Arabidopsis thaliana: one gene and its partners. The protein of the gene in region 1 interacts with the protein of each later gene in a biochemical or structural test. Each region holds a gene or a part of one and is shown on either strand. Other genes may lie near its edges. The genes, in order: TIR1, RCE1, IAA28 and SHY2.

What was found.
Region 2: the proteins of TIR1 (region 1) and RCE1 form a complex in vitro, tested with the Arabidopsis thaliana proteins (one study listed by BioGRID).
Region 3: the proteins of TIR1 (region 1) and IAA28 form a complex in vitro, tested with the Arabidopsis thaliana proteins (one study listed by BioGRID).
Region 4: the proteins of TIR1 (region 1) and SHY2 form a complex in vitro, tested with the Arabidopsis thaliana proteins (3 studies listed by BioGRID).

What each region holds. Positions count from the first base shown.
Region 1 is NC_003074.8:23,272,116-23,278,702, forward strand, and holds TIR1 (F-box/RNI-like superfamily protein), read right to left. Parts: upstream 4,516-6,587; 5' UTR 4,067-4,515; coding exon 3,600-4,066; intron 2,867-3,599; coding exon 2,374-2,866; intron 2,189-2,373; coding exon 1,364-2,188; 3' UTR 950-1,363; downstream 1-949. Other genes in the region: AT3G62970 (zinc finger (C3HC4-type RING finger) family protein), read left to right, coding at 6-97, 182-251, 318-356, 446-583. UniProt on the Arabidopsis thaliana protein: Auxin receptor that mediates Aux/IAA proteins proteasomal degradation and auxin-regulated transcription.
Region 2 is NC_003075.7:17,340,091-17,345,339, reverse strand, and holds RCE1 (RUB1 conjugating enzyme 1), read left to right. Parts: upstream 1-2,304; 5' UTR 2,305-2,756; intron 2,757-3,149; 5' UTR 3,150-3,191; coding exon 3,192-3,303; intron 3,304-3,390; coding exon 3,391-3,499; intron 3,500-3,593; coding exon 3,594-3,672; intron 3,673-3,769; coding exon 3,770-3,886; intron 3,887-3,965; coding exon 3,966-4,103; 3' UTR 4,104-4,408; downstream 4,409-5,249. Other genes in the region: GGPS1 (geranylgeranyl pyrophosphate synthase 1), read right to left, coding at 712-1,827. UniProt on the Arabidopsis thaliana protein: Accepts the ubiquitin-like protein NEDD8/RUB1 from the ECR1-AXR1 E1 complex and catalyzes its covalent attachment to other proteins.
Region 3 is NC_003076.8:9,030,750-9,035,897, forward strand, and holds IAA28 (indole-3-acetic acid inducible 28), read left to right. Parts: upstream 1-2,454; 5' UTR 2,455-2,730; coding exon 2,731-2,858; intron 2,859-3,049; coding exon 3,050-3,361; intron 3,362-3,624; coding exon 3,625-3,689; intron 3,690-3,782; coding exon 3,783-3,805; 3' UTR 3,806-4,391; downstream 4,392-5,148. UniProt on the Arabidopsis thaliana protein: Aux/IAA proteins are short-lived transcriptional factors that function as repressors of early auxin response genes at low auxin concentrations.
Region 4 is NC_003070.9:1,127,294-1,132,253, reverse strand, and holds SHY2 (AUX/IAA transcriptional regulator family protein), read left to right. Parts: upstream 1-2,564; 5' UTR 2,565-2,634; coding exon 2,635-3,119; intron 3,120-3,201; coding exon 3,202-3,510; exon of another isoform or gene 3,511-3,614; coding exon 3,615-3,690; 3' UTR 3,691-4,105; downstream 4,106-4,960. Other genes in the region: AT1G04230 (rRNA-processing EFG1-like protein (DUF2361)), read right to left, coding at 4,426-4,431, 4,581-4,820. UniProt on the Arabidopsis thaliana protein: Aux/IAA proteins are short-lived transcriptional factors that function as repressors of early auxin response genes at low auxin concentrations.

The DNA of each region.
Region 1 (6,587 bases):
GGCAGTATCTATTTGATTCGGTAAAGGCCGCACATGTGATGAAATGTGGTCATACAATGCATATGGATTGCTTTGAACAAATGATCAATGAAAACCAGTAAATTCTCCATTAATTTTACTCGTTCGTCACAATATCAAAATTGGATTTCTTATGATTAATCACCAATGTTCTCTCTCTCAGGTACCGATGCCCAATTTGTGCCAAGTCAATGGTGGATATGTCTCCTTCGTGGCACCTATTAGATTTCGAGGTAAGAATCAAATTTTTGATTTGGTGAATTTATTGAGGTAAAGACCAACCAACATTCTTTGTACAGATAAGCGCAACAGAGATGCCTGTTGAGTACAAGTTTGAGGTAAATGTCTAAAAATCCAACGTTGTGCCACCTCTTGGTTTGTTTTCCTTGTGCTCATGGTTTTACATCCGCCAAGAAAATGTCTGCAGGTTTCAATTCTCTGCAATGACTGCAACAAGGGGAGTAAAGCTATGTTCCACATTTTGGGACACAAGTGCAGTGATTGCGGTTCATACAACACTCGGAGAATCTCAACGCCACAAGATCCAGTGAGTGAAACAGAGTGATCATTTTCTGAAGCCAACTCTTCTTCATTGAATTTTCCCGTCATTGGTCCAACCATAGAGCGATAGGGCTGTGTTCTGCTTATTTATTTTTGTTCTTGGCCTAAAAACACTTGAAACGGAAAATATCGTACTGTTATATAAATGGTATTACTGTGTTTAGTCATCATGTAAACTGAAAATTTGAAAAAGCTTGTTTTTCATATGAAAAACAACAGTTCAATTACATTGTGTCCTATCACACGTTTGACGATGATGCTATTCCAAGACCTTTACACAGAGCAAGATTCTCTTGTTTCTAATTATGGTGATAAAGAGAGTGTAGGGACCTGAGACGAAACTAGGTGCTGTTCCAAAACCGAAAAGGCTGCAAACAGTTCATTAAGCGGACAAAGGAAATGGCAAAGACAAAGAGAGAGAGAGATAGAAAACATTTAAAAGGATAAAAGAGTCCAAACAAAACAAGTAGAACAGTTACATTTTTGACATTGTCTTTTAAAAAAATCTCTTATCCTCTTAAGAAAAATACCCCACCAGGATCTCTCAGTGTAAGTAGCCAAATAAACATACAACAATCAATAATTCTTACATAAATAAAACAAAGCTCTCTTAGATCTCTCTTTCTCTCTCTCCACTTATTCATTGCTCATGAGCTTGATGGTTATATGAAGCAGCCGAGATTCAAATTATTGGCGACCGAGCTCTCTCATGTTCCTAAACCGGAACACGATTATATGGGATGATGAACAAGGATTAATGAAAAATGTACCTCGTTTCTTTGTCTTATAATCCGTTAGTAGTAATGATTTGCCTGGAAAACCTCATTGTTGAGTCTTGGTCCATGTTCCAGACGAAGCCAGGCATGTCAAATCGAGGACCAGCCACTGTTCGGTATATGAAGACTCTCTCAACAGGGCAGCTCTCTGGTCTCGAGTCCGGTGCACCCCGTTCATCGATGACTTCCACATTCAGCTTTGGCATCTTCTGTCCTAGTAACTTGCAGGCTCCAAAACTCACGGAACAAGAAGACATCCAAAGGGATCGCATTGTCTCCAGCTTTGAAGCATTGGCCAAAAGCGCCTTGTCTCCAAACGGGCAGTCCCTTATCTCTAGTTTCCTCAAGCTATCGCACCCGGACAAAACATGATGCATGCCTAAGTCACTGTCTCCTGCAAATGCCACTGAGAGCATTTCCATCTTCTTGGCATATGTCCCAATGTATTCAAAAACCTTGTCGGTCAAGAGGCCAGATAGAGAGAGGCGACGGAGATCCTTGCAGTGCTCTACTATGGCTCCAAATCCAATATCCAGTGGCTCTAGAGTCAGATAGTCTGGGGCTTTTGGCTCAATGATGCACAAACGGAAGCGAGTCATGTTGGGACGGTTCCTAGCAATGGTTATCAATGCAGCATTGGTCATTTGACGGCAGAAGTAGAGAACCGACTCGAGTTTTGGACAGCCCATGGAGACGGAGACAAGCCCCTGTTCCGTCAATGCCACATTTGGTTCCATGACAAAAGGCTCGGACGGAAACACTCTCAGCTCGCGTAGGTCCTTGCAGGTTGAAGCAAGCACCTCAAGACCAGCATCCTCGATGTAGTCAAGCACCTGTAGTCAATAATAAGTTAGAGCACAGTTACAAAAAGAAAAAGGCTTTAATGCTTATAATTCAGATATATTGCTCTATATCATTCAAATTTTTTAAGAAAACTATGAACATAAGCTTTCTCATACCATACAGTAAAATGACCTATTCCAAATTCATGTGTTAATGTATGTTAAAATGGACTCACCCAGAGGCGCTGCAGTTTAGGGCATTGACAAAGAAGCTTGACAAGATCATAGCTCTGGACTGTTGCATAACTCAGATTCAAAGTTGTAAGCCGACTGCAAACCGAATAAACTGCTGGAAGATAGGCAGGAACAGCATCCCAAAATCCAGATAAGCACCTCAATTCCTTGCACCCAGAGAGCGCTACAGATAAACCAGAGTAAACATCTGGTCGCACTTCTGCAGTGTACCCACCAGTGCCCAATTCCTCCAATTGAGGTGCTCTTTGAAGTAAAGTAGCCAATTTTTCAAGTGGAACAGCTCGGTTAAGCTTGAGAGACTTGAGATTGGGACACCTAGTCACCAGCCTTTCCAGAGCAGAGAAACTGACCTCAGATGCTAAGCAAGATATATTGAGTGATACCAAAGAAGTGTATGTATCTGGGAAATGGCTAAGCCAGTGGCCACTAACGTCGTCAACATCACTCTCTCGTAAGTCAAGCTCTTTCAGATTCCTGCATAAGAAATCACATAATTAGCATCGAGTGACCCACATTATACAACTTCGAGAACATAAACATTGCCTACAATACATGAGCATAATTGTCATTAATTTGTCCAAAGTTGTATTTGATACAATGTAGAAAGATCACTTTGGGAAACTATCTAAGCATAGAACAATAACAAATTACTAAATTTATCACGTGGAAGCAATGTGAGAGATGCTAAAACAGAGCTAAAGCGAGTAAAGAAGGGGAATCCGAAAACAGATCTAAGTTTCCCAACAAGGTAAAAAAAGAAAATTGAAAGTCCCCTACAAAAAGAAAAGTAACACACACAAAGCCAAATTGATTAGATTTCCCACCTCAGGAGATTCACTGAGAGCGAATAATCCAGGAATAAATAGATACACCACCGTTAAATAAGACCCACCAGAAAGAAAAAGAGAGTGGCTATAATAAGAATCTTCAGAAACGTGATTAAAACATATATCTTTTAGATACGCAAAATCTTGACCAAACCAAAAAAAAGCTCACAAAGACCAGAGTAACATCAGCAGGAACAACGCAGCAAAACCTATATGCCCAGATCAAATAACAAGTACATGAATTTGCTATAATTGAGACTTTATGTAGTATAATGAATATACAAATCACACACCAATAAGTTTAATACAAACAAAAGCTTCTTCCTAGAGACACAAGGGAGTCTTCTTGATGAAACAAAAAACATTCAGAAAAAGAATACCTGCAAGTGGCAGCGATAGCAGCGAGACCATCGGTGGAGAAGCCTTCGCAGGAAGAAAGCACAAGAACCTTAAAATTCTTAAAAGACTTGGCTATGAGCTCCAAGCAATCGTCGGTGACCACCATCCTCTTCAGCCTTATCTCTTCAAGCCACGTGTAAGACGAAGACATGGCCTCAATCCATGGATACACGTAACCTCCCCATCCGTCAGGTACCAAATTAAAGTCAGCAAAGTGAGGTTTTCCTTTAAGCTCCACGGATCTCACTTTCGGGAACCTCCTAATCACCGTCGCTGGACTCACGGCGTAGCAGTTCCCGATGAAGACTTTCCTCCTGCACCACCGCTCGATCTCGTACCATGACTTGCACACCAGAGAGACTGAGTTCCTATCCTTATCCAGCTGAATAAACGAGAACACATGCTCTAGTACCTCTTCTGGAAACGACAAGGCTATTCGCTTCTGCATTGCGGCCAAATAACCTCGAGATCTCGATGATCGAACCAGAGGAAGAAGTTGGACAGCGTTCGAAGAAGAGTTGAACAAGTATATATATATAACTCCCAAGGTTAGATCTGAGGCGCCATTAACGGAGATAATCTAGTTTCAAAGGAGAAGCTGAAACAAAGATGAAGAAGATAGATAGAGAGAGAGAGAGAGTGGGAAGAGAAGAGAAAAGGATAGGGGGAAGGAGAAGGAGGTCAAGTTAAAAAAGCCAACCATGGTTGGGTTAAAAGTTAACCGTGGTCAAACATATCCATGTGAGCCTTTTCGGTGATTGTGATTGTCGATTCTGATGATGACACGTGTCTTATAAGCTTCAAATACCAGCCGTCCGATTGAATGAAAGCGGGAGATTATCTTATCGACTGTGCAGAGAAGGGCAGCCGCAGAAAACGGGACGAGATATTGGAGAGGGGGGGTCGGCTTATCGCGGCTTCTATCAAAATAGCGCGAGAAGGAGATCAATGATAGGGTGTGGTAAGGTGTAGGAGAAGAGGGAATCTAATGATACGCGATGCACGGCTGGATATGAGGGGAAGCCCCGTAAATTGCGGGGACCACAACAGAATGTTAAAAAAAATACTAGACTACTAATGATCTGACGGTAACAAAACAATAAAAAAAGAAGCTATTACTGTTATTTATGATGACATCACAACCGTCCAATCATGTTTTGATGTGGAATCTGAGCATCTATCTCCTCCTATTATTAGTTTTGCATGTTCATTTATTTACCCACCACTTGGATTCATAAATAAACCATCAAGACTAATCACAGTTTCATTTTCTATTTTCTAGTAATATATAGTATTGATAAATTTGATTAACTAAAGTGTATCCTTTCTCATAGCATTAAAGTGAAGTAAATAGAGTTGAATGATGAATTAACATAACAAGAATCAGTGTTTTCGTGTGAGATTGGATTAAAACATTATTTGTATGTTTTTGAAGATTGCTGAATAATTTAAATTAAAATTGAAAGGATTGCACAAAAAAGAGTAAATGTGAGGGAAGTATCCAATAATTTAAAGTGAACAACTTTTATGAGTAGAGAAAGAAAAAAAGAGAGAGAAAGAATGGATACTGAAAAATTTGAATAAAGTAGAGAAGAAAGAAAGAAAGAAAGTGCAGCGTCGCATTTTAATCACGACCGTCAGATCTGGGACCCCTTTTTAACAGTGTACGGACATACATACATACACAATCGTGACTTTTAAAATTAATAATTACTTCTTAATTAATTTACCTCGTCTGGGTGTAATAAACGTATAAAAACTACAATTATTTCGGGCTCTGTCGCAAGTACAACGGCTTAGAGGAAAATAAATGGGTATTGAATTGACGAGAATGCCCTTCTTCTCGAAACAGTGTATGATGGGCTTTGCAGAGTCTGAGCATGGAGTTGATAGGTCTGTCCTGCCCTAACTAAAAAAACTTGTCACATTATCAAACTGTTCTATATCATCTTCGTATTACATACCATCCTGACCGTTTATCCACTTAAACTACTATTTAAAATATCGCACCTTTCTAGTTTTCTTTTTGAATGTACTGTTGATTAGTTCTTAAACCAAAAATAAAATCTAAAAATTATAATGACATACATACAAATACGAAGATTTTAAAAAAAAAAAATGTAGCAAGCAAGTGCTCAGAAATTGAGGTAGTAACGAAGAAAGAGATAATTAGGAAAAAACAAAGAGAGGGCTGAGTATAGTCAGATGGGAGAAGTGTGGAGCTGAGTTGTCTTGCACGTAATACGCTTAAGTTTTTTTAAAATTATAAGTTTTAATGTCGTCAGAAAAAGGGATTAACTTACACTGATATAATAAGAGGTCATTGATTATGAATTTTTTAAGGAAATGATTAGAATAATAATCCCACGCATGGCTCCCCCGCGAATCTCTCTTATTTCTTTCTCCTAGTCTCGGGTTTCGTACTCAAAACTAGCTTGCTCTTTGCTGTCTATTATCCCTTAATTATCTCCCTAATTATTTTTTTAATTATCTCTTCAGCGATATTAGATCCAACTCTGAATGAATTATAAATTGTGTACCTAAAAGCCGAGAATATTACAGACTGCATTATACTACTACTGTTTATGTGAGATAGAAATATGTGTACGCATGTGTGGACGGACATATATAAAAGAATAACATAGTACTATAGTATTTACATAATACTACTGTTTATATATAAGATAGATGATGAGTGATATATATAATGCGATTGATGAAGAGGTGGTGTACAAGTACAAGTAAAGTGGCACGTGATTTATAAAGCTAATTTGGATTATGTCTTGATTATAATGACCTTCCCCATTAGTGGAAGCCATCCTTTTTTCCATTTTTATTCATATTGTTCTCTTCTCTATATCGTTATATGATTTGTCAAATTCTGACCAATTATATTTCTTATATCTTCGCTTTCTTATTTCGTGTCCCTCCCAATCACGATTTTACTAGTAACTTTTTTCCGCATTTAT
Region 2 (5,249 bases), on another chromosome or scaffold:
TTAGAAGTTATAATCATAGTCAGTTCCAAAAAAAAAAAAATATATATATATATATATATATATATCAGATTTCGAACTAACAGTAGTTTGCTATTCAATAAGTGATTTTCACGATGAAAAAGCCATAAAATAAAAATAAAAATTGTTGGTGCCAGCTAGAATAAGACTTCGAATAAGCAGAATAAAATGGTACTAAGCAGAATTAAATGGGCTTTTTGGAACTCTGTTTTTGGATTGGGCTTTTTAATTTGGGAACCAACAAATGAGATTGGCCCATTCAAGAAACATATAGTAATAATTATTAATGTATTGTATTCGCCTCGGTCCATCTTAAACTCTGTATGCTCCGTTGACTTGATTGGTTTTACGCCCCAAAACAACGCCGTACCTTTGGATAACTAATCTGAACACCAATAAGGCAAGAACTAGCGAATCTATCAGATCCAACCAGAGTTCCTGTCCTAAAACACATTGTTCATCATTACAAATACGAGCCAAAAGAACAGAGAGTTTAATACTCAAAAAGACTGAAACCAACCAGGGACTCTATTACAGACACATGAACCTCTTCATATTTCATCCATTACTATCCAAATTTTTTAGTACATGAAAACATAGAGATGATTACACCAACAAACTCTAGAGAACCTGTCCGAGATTTCTACAATTCCAATCTAATAATGATTCCCGACAAAAGGAATCGAACACAAATCAGTTCTGTCTATAGGCAATGTAATTAGCCAAAGCCAACAAAGGAGCAACCTTATCAGAATCAAACCCTAAAAGCTGATCACGAGCCTCTCTATTCAATTTCTCAGCAAACTCTCTCGATTTCTCCAAACCCATAATCTTAGGATACGTCAACTTATCAGCAATCAAATCTTTCCCAGCAGTTTTCCCTAACTCTTTCGACGATTTCGTCACATCCAAGATATCATCAACCACCTGAAACAACAAACCAATACATCTCGCAAACTTTCTTAACCTCTCAATCTCATCATCACTTCCTCCACCAACAATAGCTCCCAAAACAGCAGAAGCTTCAAGCAACGCCGCCGTTTTATGCAAATGGATAAACTCCAAATGCTCTAAACCGACGTCGTTTAAATCTAACCCTTCACTACTAATATCCACGACTTGACCCGCCACTAACCCTTCTGTTCCTATCGCTTTAGCCAATTCTCCAACGGCTCGAACCACTCTCACCGGAGAAACAACATCAGAACTCGTCGCCGAAGCTAAATGCTCGAAAGCGAAAGAGAGAAGCGCGTCTCCGGCTAAAACAGCGACGTCTTCACCAAACACTTTGTGGTTGGTCGGTTTTCCACGGCGGAGATCGTCGTTATCCATACAAGGGAGATCGTCGTGGATCAACGACATGGTGTGAATCATCTCGACGGCGCAAGCTGCTGGCATAGCGGTTGATTCTTCACCTCCGACGAGTTCACAAGCAGCGATGCAGAGAACTGGTCTAACTCTTTTGCCACCGGCGAGAAGAGAGTAACGCATCGCTTCGTGGATCTTGAGTGGCTCACGGAGAGGAACAGCTGAATCTAAAGCTTTGTTGACTAATTCGGCTTTGGTGATGATGTACGACATGAAATCGAAAGAGGATGGTTCAGATTGGCGTAGATTGTCTTCTTTTGTAACAACGGAAGAAGAAACGATTGAAGAAGATGATGAAACGGTGCGTTTTGATCGAAAGGAGATGGGTTTAGTAAGAGTTATAGGACAAGATCTGGATCTGGATTTGGTAAGGATTGAAGATGGATGATGATGATTGTGGTGGTGAACAACAATCCATGAACCTAGAGTCACTGAAGCCATGGCGATTTCTGAAATCTGAAATTTTAGATTTGAGAATTTTTTATATTAGTATTTATTTTTTTTTGTTTTTTTTGGAAAGTGGAGTCAAAATTATGAATGGAGAATTGGATTGGCCATTAGTGAGAAGCTAGGAAGTAACAGATAGGGTTGTGTTACGGAATGGGCCTTGTTAGTGGTGGAGATGACGATCTTCACTTTTATTGAAAAGCATCTTTTTTCTTTTTTCACTGTTTTTGTTTTATTGTTTTTAAGTCCATGGAAAATGTTTTTATAGCATAAAGATGATATTTTTCTGGCTTAGATTACAGATAAATTACTTGTCAGTTTTTTAGATTTTTTTCTTTTTATTTTCAATTCTATACCACAAATATATACTATTGTTGTTTTGGTAAAATATCAAAATCTTAAACACATAAATCTCATCTGTTATTTTTTTCTATACCACACATTGAATTTAGATGATTACGTAGTGATTAATGATTATCTTGTTTTGTAGATTTGTTACACGAAATTAGTAAAAATGGCATAAAAAATGCATACGGGTCACAAGTCCCACTTGTGGACATTTTACACGAGCTCGTTGATCTCTGACAACTGCTTGGTTTTAACTTATTAAAAGCGCGCAAACTACCAAATTTATTGTTGGAAGATAGATATAACTGAAATGGGCCTAACGGGCTTTAATGGGCCAAGCTGGAACTCAACAAACAGGTACGAGATTTTTGAATTATTCTGATTCAGCGTCGAGAAAAAAGCTACGATTGTGTGTTTATTATTATTGCAACCATTTCTCTGCTGTTTCTTCGTCGTTTAGCTTCAGAGGACGACAATCCGGTAGGCGAGAGAGAGAGATTAATCAATCGGCGACCTTTTTAATTCGCTCGTAATTCGTTTTGATTTTCGTGTTTTTGCAACGAATTTAACAACTTGTAAGCTTCTTCTTCTTCTTCCTTCATTCTCTTTGTTTGATTGTCTTGGTGTTTAACTTTCGATGTTTCGACCTAGTCGTTGTTTTGAGATTTCTGATTCTACTTATGTGGAAGGAAAGTCTTCGATCTTTGAACCTGTTAAAGTAGATTAGCTTGTCTTGTAATAACGCGTTTTCATTTCTGAGATTTTGGTTATAGCTTTGTTTTAGGGATCTTATGATTTGGGATTCAATTATTGTGTGAAAGTCTAATAAGCTATGTTACCAAGATTAATATAAAAGTGGGCATATGAGTTTAGTTGCAGTTGTGATTTGATATATCGAAAGGATCGATTTTTTAAGGTCTTCTTTGATCTGTCATAGAATTAATCATTCATTCTTTGATTTGTCACAGCTGTGTGTGTGGGTGTGAGTTTCTTAAGAGAAGTCAGAAACAATGATTGGGTTGTTTAAAGTAAAGGAAAAGCAAAGAGAACAAGCTCAAAATGCTACTAGAGGAGGAGCTTCTGTTAAGAAGCAATCTGCTGGCGAACTTCGTCTTCACAAAGGTATATAAATGCCTTGTTGATCTTTTTTTTGTTCTTGCATCTCCAAGTTTCAATTTTTGGTGTTTTTTCCGATTTTGAACTGTGCAGATATATCAGAGTTGAACCTTCCTAGCTCTTGTTCAATATCTTTTCCAAATGGCAAAGATGATTTGATGAACTTTGAAGTATCCATTAAACCTGATGATGGATATTACCAGTTAAGTAGTGCTTTTTTTCCCACTGAAACCTGCGTTTTTGTCTCTTAAAAACTTTTTGGAAACTTATTTGTTTCTTTCTTACCAAATAAACAGCAATGGTACGTTTGTTTTCACATTCCAAGTCTCTCCTGTGTATCCACATGAAGCTCCAAAAGTTAAATGCAAAACCAAGGTAGGCCTCTCCTCCTTTTACATGCCTTATATAGTTTACAGCTTCTACTTCAAAATCGTTTGTGTTGTAGAAACTCTTTGTTGGTTTTCTTGTTTAGGTTTATCATCCCAATATCGATTTGGAAGGAAACGTTTGCCTGAACATCTTGCGTGAAGATTGGAAACCTGTTCTTAACATTAACACAGTTATCTACGGACTCTTCCATCTGTTCACGGTAATTAACCGGACAGTTCGATCAAACAAAGGTTTTTGTGTTATTTGGTTTCTGAACTGAGTGATTGTTTTTCACACAGGAACCCAATTCTGAAGATCCCTTGAACCATGATGCTGCAGCAGTTTTGAGGGATAACCCAAAGCTCTTTGAGACCAATGTTCGCAGGGCCATGACCGGTGGATATGTCGGTCAGACCTTTTTCCCGCGTTGTATCTAACAAAGCTCTGGTTTGTCTTCTTCAAGGAAAAAGATAAGAACCAAACCCTTTGTCCGCCATTGTATTTCTTCTCTTTCTCAAGGACCCTCGTTTGTTTGTTTGATCTTGTAAAATTACATTCCGCGTTAAAGTAACCCTTTCCTTATATCGAAATCTTGTCAACTTTAAGTTCGTGAGAATTCGATAAAGGAGACTAAAAGGAATTGTATAACATGTTTGATCTTTGTCATTTCTTGGGTTCCTTATAAATCATTTGTTTAAATTTCATTCGAAATACTGTTTGAAATATAGCCTTCATAACTGGATTTTTTTTTGTTTGGTTCGGGTTTGCTAAAACAATATTCTTGTTTCAGGTTTAGATTAAAATATAAATCACATCTATCCTATTCGATTTCCATTTTGATATCTAGAAAATAATCGATTTCATTCAACGTTTGATTCATATTTTTGTACACACGTTTTGATTTATTCGGTTTTAAAAAAAGCTTCAATTCTGTTTTAAAAAGTCTTGCTATGGCCTAAGGAATAATATGAAAAAACAAATGTTTACAATCCCTAACGACTAATGCTAGATCCAAATTCCTGTCTTTAATCATTATATCAATTTAGTATTTTGATTAAAGAAAAATAATTTTAAAAGTCCGAAAAGACACAAACTCAAAATTTTAAAACTATTTTTGAAAAAACAAATGAAAACCTAGAATGATTAATAATAGAAAAAACAAGTTGAAATATTTACAATCGCTAACTACTAAGGTTGGATCCAAAATCCGGTTAGTTTTCACATAATTATGTAAATTTTGTAAAATATTATGTAAATTTAGTATCCGAAGAAATATATTTATTTTTTTTCTGAAAAAACAAAACAATAAAAAAGCTTTCACAAATTAGAAAGAAAAAAATTAATAATTTAAAAGATATTTTTAAAAAATCCGTAAAAACTGAATATTAATTCTACATAATAATGGGAAAAATAAGTTAAATGGTTGGAATCTCTAACGACTGAAACTATATCCAAAATTTGGTTAGATTTCTTATCATTATATATTTTATTTTTAAAAACAAATACAAGTTTGAAAAAATTTATAAAATTCCAAAGAAACAAAAATAAGTTAAATGGTTGGAATCTCTAACGACTGAAACTAT
Region 3 (5,148 bases), on another chromosome or scaffold:
TGCATACATTCACATTGCCTCACAATCAATCTAGAATATCGATTCTTTAAAACAATATATAGAGATTCATAAGTAAAGTACTTCATATTCTAATGATGTTTATCTTCTAATATTACTATCCATCTATGCGTATTCTTATGGATTTTTGTTTCAGGGTCAACACTAGATTATAAGAAACTAGATTATAGTTATACAATCTTAAACAATAAACAAAACAAATATAACTTAATTTAATTTTTTATTTTTAACTAAAATCAACTAATTTAATAGTTTATAAAAAAACCAAATACTATTATTTAACATAAAGACCAAATACTATTATACTTTAATTATAAAAACTACATCTTATTGAAAGGTATACACTAAAAATTGGTTTTATATACTACAATATCATAAATTTGTAAATCACAAATTATTTTTAAATATATTAATCCAAGATGTACCACATGTCGATCCGTCGATTTTTATATATATTAGAATAACAATATTTAAAAATAACAAAATGATTTTCATTTTACGGAATGAAGTTATATGGTGGAACGAGTTTGGGTTGATATTAATACGGGACGATAATCTACGAGTAAAATCTTAGAATTAATAACTATAACATAATTATATAATCTTAAACACTAAACAAAATAAACAATATTTACAAAACAACTATATCTTAAAATTTGAATTTTTAGTTACAAAAAATCGACCAACGGTGTACCGCGGAGTTAAATTTACATTATATCATCTAATTGATCAAATTTCAAACAAAAACAATCAATTTATATATACATCAAACTAACAAAAATACACAGATTTTCCAAATATCTCTATATATTCAGCAAATCCAAACAAATCTAACAATATATTTACCATGCAAAATATAAATAAAATATAAATAATATAAATTAATAAAAAAAGTTAGCTATTTTATCATAATTAACACTGTACACTGTTCTATGCATATTATAATTTATACACTATAATATTTTTAACTAAAAATGTATTCCATTATATTTATATACACGTATGTGCAGGGTCAGAATCAAGTAAAAATTACACTATAAGCTCTGTCATTATTAGTGTGATGATTAGTCATGGTATATTGGTCTCGGACTCTCGGTTAATTAATATAAATCGGCTGAAGAAATTGTTTTGCCCCGAGTTAAAAAGAATAAAACAAATAGGTGATGACCCATGAAAAAAGGTCAAAAGACAAAAGAGAATTTCTAGATTGCCACAAATTTCTAGACAAAAGACACAAGATAAGTATAAACCAATTCAACTATAAGAAACTGTGAAATAGCCACAAATTTTATGTGTCTATTTCAACAGTTTTATTTGTAGTATTTTGAGCGTTGACCCATTTTAGTTATTTTCACTAATCAAATTACAGCTTATTTGATTATATGCCATAGCTATTAAGTTTTTTTAAGATTGAGTTGAAAGATCCTTAAACCATCTTGATATATTTCTAAAGTTATACTTGATTATGTTTAAGATGACTTTTCATGGGTTGGCAATTTCCGTAAATCAATCGATTATGTAACTTGAAAAAAAGGACAAACATTATGGAGGCCAAATTAGAGTAACAAAAACCAAGTTGGTAGTGGACTTTTCGTGAAAAAAGAGAGAATTTGTAGTGGAATTCTAAGTATACATACAATTAATATTTGCAGTACTTATATATCAAATAAAAATAAACAGAAGAAGGTTAGTAAACGAAAACCTACTACTTTACTCCTTTTATTGGTAGGTACTCATTTAAGCATGCCTAGGAATCTCTTTCCTCTTTCTTGTTTCCTTTTCTATGTCGGCCTCTACTCTCCAAGAATGGGTGTGGAGATGATCATATGATGACTATGTTGATGATCACATGATGACACAACCATGCATGATACATTTCTTTGTCTCATGAGTCACGGTGACATACATGAATTTTCTAAAATACATGTGTTACAAATGTCATGCATAAGAGAAGCAATTGTACATAGTTTATATGATTATAGTTTTCATTTTCTAAGTAAGAATAGCATTCATTTTCATTTTTCAATATGATTTTAATTCATGTCACTAGCTAATAAAGGGGTATTACTAATCACTGTTATTTATATATCTCTTTGTTTAAATTGGTTTATGTGTATGTGTTGGATATTCATTTTGACTTTGGTGCTATGGTAGCATTTTAGTTCTTTGGTAATTTTCGGTTACCCACATCTTTTTGGATCGAATTAGAATGATAATGGACACGTCTAGACAGCGTAATAATTTGGTGATTACATCTAAGATTTTTGGAATCATATGTTTTGTAATTAATCAGAGTTATTCGGTAGTATGAGACCCCACACGGCTATGAACCATGTTACCATATATTCTAAGTGGGTTTTTAATTTGATAACCACCTACCTATAACTCTAAATTAGTCTATTGGATTTTTCTAATGATCATCATATAAATTTATTCTCTTTATATAATAGTAATCGTTGTAAATAATATATGTGTGTCTCCCATCAATCCGCATCACATTCGTAGAATCATACACGTATGTAAACGCATTTTTGACATACGGAAACCATACAAGTAGGATCTGTTAGGTGGTTATTAATTCAAAATAAAATCTCTTTTCATTAGAAAATATAAAGAGACTACTTTTATAAAAAGATTGGGATTGTAGTTCCTTGCCAACCACCCATATAATAATACTCCCCAACACCAAAAACACAACACAAACTTAGAAAAATGGAAGAAGAAAAGAGATTGGAGCTAAGGCTAGCTCCTCCTTGTCACCAATTCACTTCCAACAACAACATCAATGGATCTAAACAAAAAAGCTCGACCAAAGAAACATCATTCCTTTCCAATAACAGGTTCTCTTAATCTCTTCTCATGAATGATTTGAATCATTCTTGTTCATTGTAGATGTCTTATATGATAATAAAATAAAAATAAAAAACAAAATCCTGGTAATTCTACAGTTTTCGGAGATTAGTTTGGGTTTCGGTATCTAGTTATCAAAAAGTATTTGTGTATATGTTATAACTAGATATGGCTAAAACAGGGTTGAGGTAGCTCCAGTGGTGGGATGGCCGCCGGTGAGATCATCCCGGAGAAACCTAACGGCACAACTAAAGGAGGAGATGAAGAAGAAGGAGAGTGATGAAGAGAAGGAATTGTACGTTAAGATCAACATGGAAGGAGTTCCAATAGGAAGAAAAGTCAACCTTTCAGCTTATAACAACTACCAACAGCTTTCACATGCCGTTGACCAACTCTTCTCTAAGAAAGATTCGTGGGATCTAAACAGACAATACACTTTGGTCTACGAAGACACTGAAGGAGATAAAGTTCTGGTCGGGGATGTTCCTTGGGAGTAAGTTTTAAATCAAACAAAACTAATTCCATTTTTTTTTCTGGAACTGAATATGAACTTACTTTATCAAAAATTCATTTTATATCTATCTACTTTTGTTTTTGTCGAATTTAACAAATATTTTTAGTATGAGTTCCTAAAAAGAGTTTGGCCATTTCTCATCAGATTATTATTTTCCTTTAAAGGTCATATTTTTGGATATTTATCTGATAATAATTTGAATCATTGGACATATTAATGATATAGTTTACTTTATTTGTTAGGATGTTTGTATCTACTGTAAAGAGGTTGCATGTTTTAAAGACCTCCCACGCCTTCTCACTCTCACGTAAGATTACAATTCTTACGAAACTTTTTCATACATCTCATCACTTAATTACTGCCTTGAAATTAACTTATATATTTATTTATTTTTTCACAGCTAGAAAACATGGCAAGGAATAGAGAGAGGTTGGCCAAAATCATCAGTTCGATGGTTTGTTTTTAATGTAATTTTTGTGGAAACTAATGGGGTTTGGCTTTGATTTACTGGTTTTCTTTTTCACTTATGTACTAGGTTTTTGCTTGCTATGTTATTTCTTGTTTTGGTTGTAAATATGCTGTTCGTTTAAGAAATCGGGGGTTAGTATGTTATCGTGTGTATAAAAATAGTGTAAGCACGTAAGTTGATTACAATGCCTGATATGATTCATGCCTTCGTTTCGTTTTTTAGTAGGGAAAATGGTATTTAATTAGCGAAATCAAACCGACTCATTTTATGTTTTTTTCAGAGAGGTAAAAATCCAGAGAGCCTGTTTACTATGTATGAGTAAAGATTACCCGAAATAATAGAGAAATAGATACAAGAGGCTATCCAAGTTTGGTGGGTTCGAGTTTTATAACACCATCCAAAAAAAATTGTTGTTTTGTAACACACATGAGTACCAATTGTTTATTTCACAAAAGACAAACCATTTATTTCATGAACTGTAATCTTGTTATGTTCATGAATTATTTCGGTATAACATGTAATTAACTCGAGTAATATCTTAAAATAGTATTTAGAGTAAAGATAGTAGGGAGAAAGATACTTTATTTTTTTATAACTCATATAATTTTAAAAATTTCATACACCCAAAAATTGATTATGGAGTATGGAAAAACCATGTTAAATTACTTAAATTTTGGTGGCTAATACTACTCGAACTCAGATGGTGAAAACGACTTTAGACTTCATTAATATAAATATATATATATATATATATATATATATATATTTATATGAGTTTTTACTTATTGTCAATTGGTTTTGGAATTAGTAATCTATGAAACTTAACATAGTATCAGTCTATCAGAGGTTGAACATTCGCTGACCCGTTAATCCAACTTGGAAAATGGTCCGATTACCTCTACTAATTGATGATCCAAAGAAAAACTCAATTATGTCGAGATAGGTAAAAAAACATTATTTTAAAAGAAATAATGAATTTAAAATTAGTAAATAAAATTTAAAATTTAAAAATTCTCCTATAAATTTTGTGTCTCACAACTTTCTTTCAAACTTTTTTTCTTCAAAAATATACCGTATGCTGATGAAATTTTTATCTTTACCAATTAAGAATATAATCTTTTGTTTCCATCTCAAATCATCATCATCACCTCCAAAGCGTTTAGCAACCCCAAAACCAACCACTTGGCGACTACACAGTATTTTACTCAAAACATCACAAGTTTCTATGAAACGTAAAACGATGAGTTTAGTAAAAAAAAACTAGAGATTATAGTCAGAAAAACTATAATAATAAGAA
Region 4 (4,960 bases), on another chromosome or scaffold:
GAAGATAATATTATTTATCAAAAGTTCAAAACTATCACTGTATCACATATTGACGCAAAAGTTTTTTTTTTTTTTTTAACGTTCTATAATAACCTAAAGAGTGTCAAACATTGACTAATATTTGAAGTTTTTCTAATGCAAACTAAAAAAGAAAAAAGAAAAAGAAAAGAAGAAACAGATCCCTCAAATTAATGAGGAAACCCCGAGGTTGGTTTACGAACCCAAGTTGAGTAAAATAAAAGATTAGTAGTAATATGTGGATAAGAAAATTGTAAAGTTGGCTTTATGGTTAAAGAAAATGGGAAAAAAATAGTGGTGGTTAGATTGAAGTGGTCCAGATACGCCGTCAAAGCAAAATAAAACTCCAAAATGTAGCGGCCCAGCCCATTTAATTACTCCTATAAAGATGGTCCAATTGCAAATGAAAATGTGTTAAAATTTCGGAAAGCATTATTTCTACTACGAAGGAATTTAACTAACTTAATAAAGAAAATATTCTAAACTTTGGACCACACCAATTATTATACAATGTGTTGATTTCTATTGTAAATCATTTATATCAACAAAAGAGTCATAAGTACACTCTAATTTCGTTGGTTAAGTGCTAAAAATCTTGCGCGGTTTAGCTTTCGGATTAGATTTTATAAAGAGTGCTATAATCAACCAGCGATTCTGTGATCAGATGTGGGACCTGCATCTTCTGTCATTGGTTACACGTGTACGGTTGATACGGTGGCTTGAGATCTTCTACTGCTCTGTAGGGCAAGCAAATATTTGAGTGACATGTGTTATGATTAATCATGTCGGCAAATACAATTACGAACGAATTATCATCATTATCTTCACTTCTTTGGCTAAATTGCTAATGGATATTGGAGGAATTTATTAGGTTTTAATCCGACATATAAGAGTATATACAAAAGAAAAATATTAATTTTTCAAATTTTATTTTAGAAAAAGTTTCATGAAATATTTTGCGTTAACTGCTACTATAGTAAATTCGTGATTGTTACTTAATGGTCTAATTTATCCTTTAAAAAACCAAAACAAATCATTTTTGTGTGATTAGTTGTTGTAGCTAAGACATTGTCATTTTATTTTCAGTATAAGTTACTAAATTCGTTTATATATATAATTAAATTGCAAAGTATGCTACAGTATGACATATAATGAGTGCAGAAAAATAAAAGATGATGCCATAATACTATAGTGAATGAGAAAAGCCTGCGGATATTCATGCCTAATAAAAGTCTTTAACTCCTTATGGATAAGATATATATGGGAATACAAAACATTTAATTTATATTTATTTTTTATCTTACGTTCCACTGACGGATTATAAATAAATTTTTTAGGAAAAACTTTATATTTGTTTGTGTGTGCAAACTTTATATTACATATATTAGTCATCAAATGCTTCTATATATTGTGACCAATTCACAAATAATGATATAAATATATATATATTCCCATCAGTTTTTCTTGGTATAAATACAATTAATTCAATTCAAACTTATGACCTGTTCTGTCAAGAAAACGAATCTAGTAATTTATGACTGAACCAAGAAGAGAATGTTTCTCACCGTACAGAAGAAATCAATGCGTGATGAGTACTGAGTAGCTGTTAGCAGTCACCTCTAATTGTATGAATTTATTTTGTTGAAATATGTTCGTTAATCGTTAGTACTTGTTGAAAGTCACTACGTACGTATATATGTAGATAAAAAAAAAAAAAAAATTCTTTTAGGATTATTGTTACACGTATAATGTAAAGTTATAACATAAGTTCTTAACAACTCTTTGCATAGTACCGATTCGGACTTCGATTTCGAAAGCCATGCATGAGAAAACCAAAAAATGGAGCCAAAACTTAGATCCGGTTCAATTCGAGTAGGTTATGTCAAAGACGTAAACATCTACAATAGGAGCTCCATATAAGTAGAATACAACCAATGCCACGCTGTAACATAAACAAAGACAGCGAGAATCTGTTAAAGATCTCTCAGGTTCCAAAACAAAACTACAAGACCCCATTATGATGTTACTGACATTTAACTAAAGCCTTGTGCTAGTTGATCCTTAAGGAAGATGTCCTGTCGTGATGCTCAGTTTTATTTCAAATTCATATATACGTGTGTGTGTGTGTGTGGTGATCATGATTAATAGGTTAGAGACAGAGAGACAAAAGTTGTGGGCTTTAACAAACCCCAGTAAAGAACAATAAGTAATTTTGTCACGTAGGCTCTGTTTTTGGCTCTTCAACACCCAAAGTACCTGTTTTTTGAAGATGTGAGACATAAATTATTACTTATGATCTCAAGTCAATAAACTCATCAAATCTGAACTACCCACAATCCAAACATTGAACACTAGCTACCTTTACATATAGAGTTAATTAACCATCCATCTATTGAGAAAACGAGTAAAATATGTATTCGGTTGTTGTTCTTGGTAAGAAAAGATTATGAGCTTACGATCCGAAATTTCTTGGTTGTGATAAGTTATTAATGGGAGATAGAGAGAGGTGATATGCCCATATGGCATACCACATGTGGTGGGGGATTCGAAGATTTGATCTGGACCGTCTATCACAAGAAAGAAAGATGAAAATATTTTGTTTTTGGGTTTGGACAGATGGGAGAAAAAGAAAGTGTCCCCACAAATGTCCCCAAGAAGATGGGACACACTTTTGCCTCAAAGTTGCTGTTACTGCTACCGACAAGCTTAGCTTTTTTTCCTTTGTCCTTAATTCAGAAAACAGTTTCTTCTCTCTCTACCAGTATCTATCTTTATTCTCCTTTAACTTGTATAAAACACTCAGCTTCCTCGAAGCCTCTCATCTTCATCATCAGCAGCTTCTCTATATCTCTCCTCTCTTTCAAGGATAATAACCAAAAGCTTTTCTTTTTATCTTCTCCTGCAATTCTTGAAGAAATGGATGAGTTTGTTAACCTCAAGGAAACAGAGCTGAGGCTGGGATTACCGGGAACAGATAATGTATGTGAAGCAAAAGAGAGAGTTTCTTGCTGTAATAACAACAATAAGAGAGTACTATCAACTGATACTGAGAAGGAGATTGAATCATCATCAAGGAAAACTGAAACATCCCCTCCTCGAAAGTAAGTTAAACTCACACAAAAGTCTCTGAATCTGTAGTGGTGGAGAATTCAGTTGATTGACCGTGTTTCTTCCTTTTTGCAGGGCTCAGATTGTTGGATGGCCACCAGTTAGATCTTACAGGAAGAACAACATTCAGAGTAAGAAGAATGAATCTGAGCATGAGGGTCAAGGAATCTATGTGAAAGTAAGTATGGATGGTGCACCATACTTGAGGAAAATAGATCTGAGTTGTTACAAAGGATACTCAGAGTTGCTTAAAGCTTTAGAAGTGATGTTCAAATTCTCTGTGGGAGAGTACTTTGAGAGAGATGGATATAAAGGTTCAGACTTTGTGCCTACTTATGAAGACAAAGATGGTGATTGGATGCTCATTGGTGATGTTCCATGGGAGTAAGTCTTCTTTCATATACCTGTCTGAAAACAATTTCCACAAAATCAAAAATCAGAAACAACAATTTTGTAAGTGTTCTTATGGGTTCTGTTTGTTGTTGCAGGATGTTCATATGTACGTGCAAGAGACTAAGGATCATGAAAGGATCAGAAGCCAAAGGTTTAGGCTGTGGTGTATGAGATATATCTTCAAGAAATCTAACAGAGACACAAAAGAACTTGAAGAAAAATAGAGTTTCTTTTGGTTCAGAGAAATCTCTGTCTGTGCTTGGGTTGTCGGGTTTCTCGGGCAAGATCTATGTTCATTGGATTGAATCCAATTCATAGCCTTTATTTACCTCATCGGTAAAATTCAAATGTAAACATGCTTAATGGTCTTAAGCATATGAAACTGGAACCTAATTACATTTTGTTTCAGAAACAGGGCAAAAGGTTGTCCTTAAATCTTTGGTTATGTGTATTACATTAATTAAAGTGTTATGAAGATTGAAGAGTTGTTTTTATATTTGTAGCAATTCTGTTTTGCGTTCTCATTGATCAAAGAGATTTTCAAGCAATACCCATTTTCTATTTTGGTTCACTAGTTCTTAGATCATATTATTGATGGTCGAGGTTGGATTACTCCCATTAATTAATACAATTCGATCAAAGCCAACATGAACATAAATCAATAGAAACAAAAAAAAAACTTATCTTATATGAGAAATACGTTTTGCCCAAAGCTTAGGGTTCATTTCATCAGCCAAAAACAACAGACACCTACCTCTCTGCTTTCATGGCAACATATATATACGCATTAGATCCAATCAGAAGATGTAAGACTAGACAGGCCGTAGTAATGAGTGAAGCTTTTGGAATTGATGAACTGTGTTACGAGCTTCTTCGTTTTCTCAGACATGGCGGGAGAGACCTTGTTCACGCCTGAAACAGCAAAACGAATAATATATAATCAGCTTGTAAAATGCAGATTCTTTAGTTATAGAGTTTGAAAGATTGATGCAAATGTACCAATAAGACTTTCAACAAAAGTACGAAACAGAATTCCAGGAAAGAGTCGAGAGAAAACTCACCTGTAGCTTCTTCTTCTTAGGCCTTCTCTTCCTCTTGGGTTTGTGAGCATCAGAATTAGAACTCAAGTTGCTACTCTGACTTGTATGCGAACTAGTGGCAGCATGTGAAGACTGGCTTCTTCTATGTGAAGTGTTGCTGGAGGAAGGTATCTCATTCCTCTTCACAGATGAATACTGACGAGATGTTGATGCAAACCTTGACCGTGGTGGTGGCATTAAAACCCTAGTAGAGTATGGCTTCTACAATAAAAGAAAAGAAATCACTTACCAAAATACTAACATTCAATATATAACACTTCATTTTCATATTCTTTGATCCCCCCCGGAATTGAACAAGTTACGTTTCTGACTTTCTCGGCGTATAAGAGTCCCCAGTATCA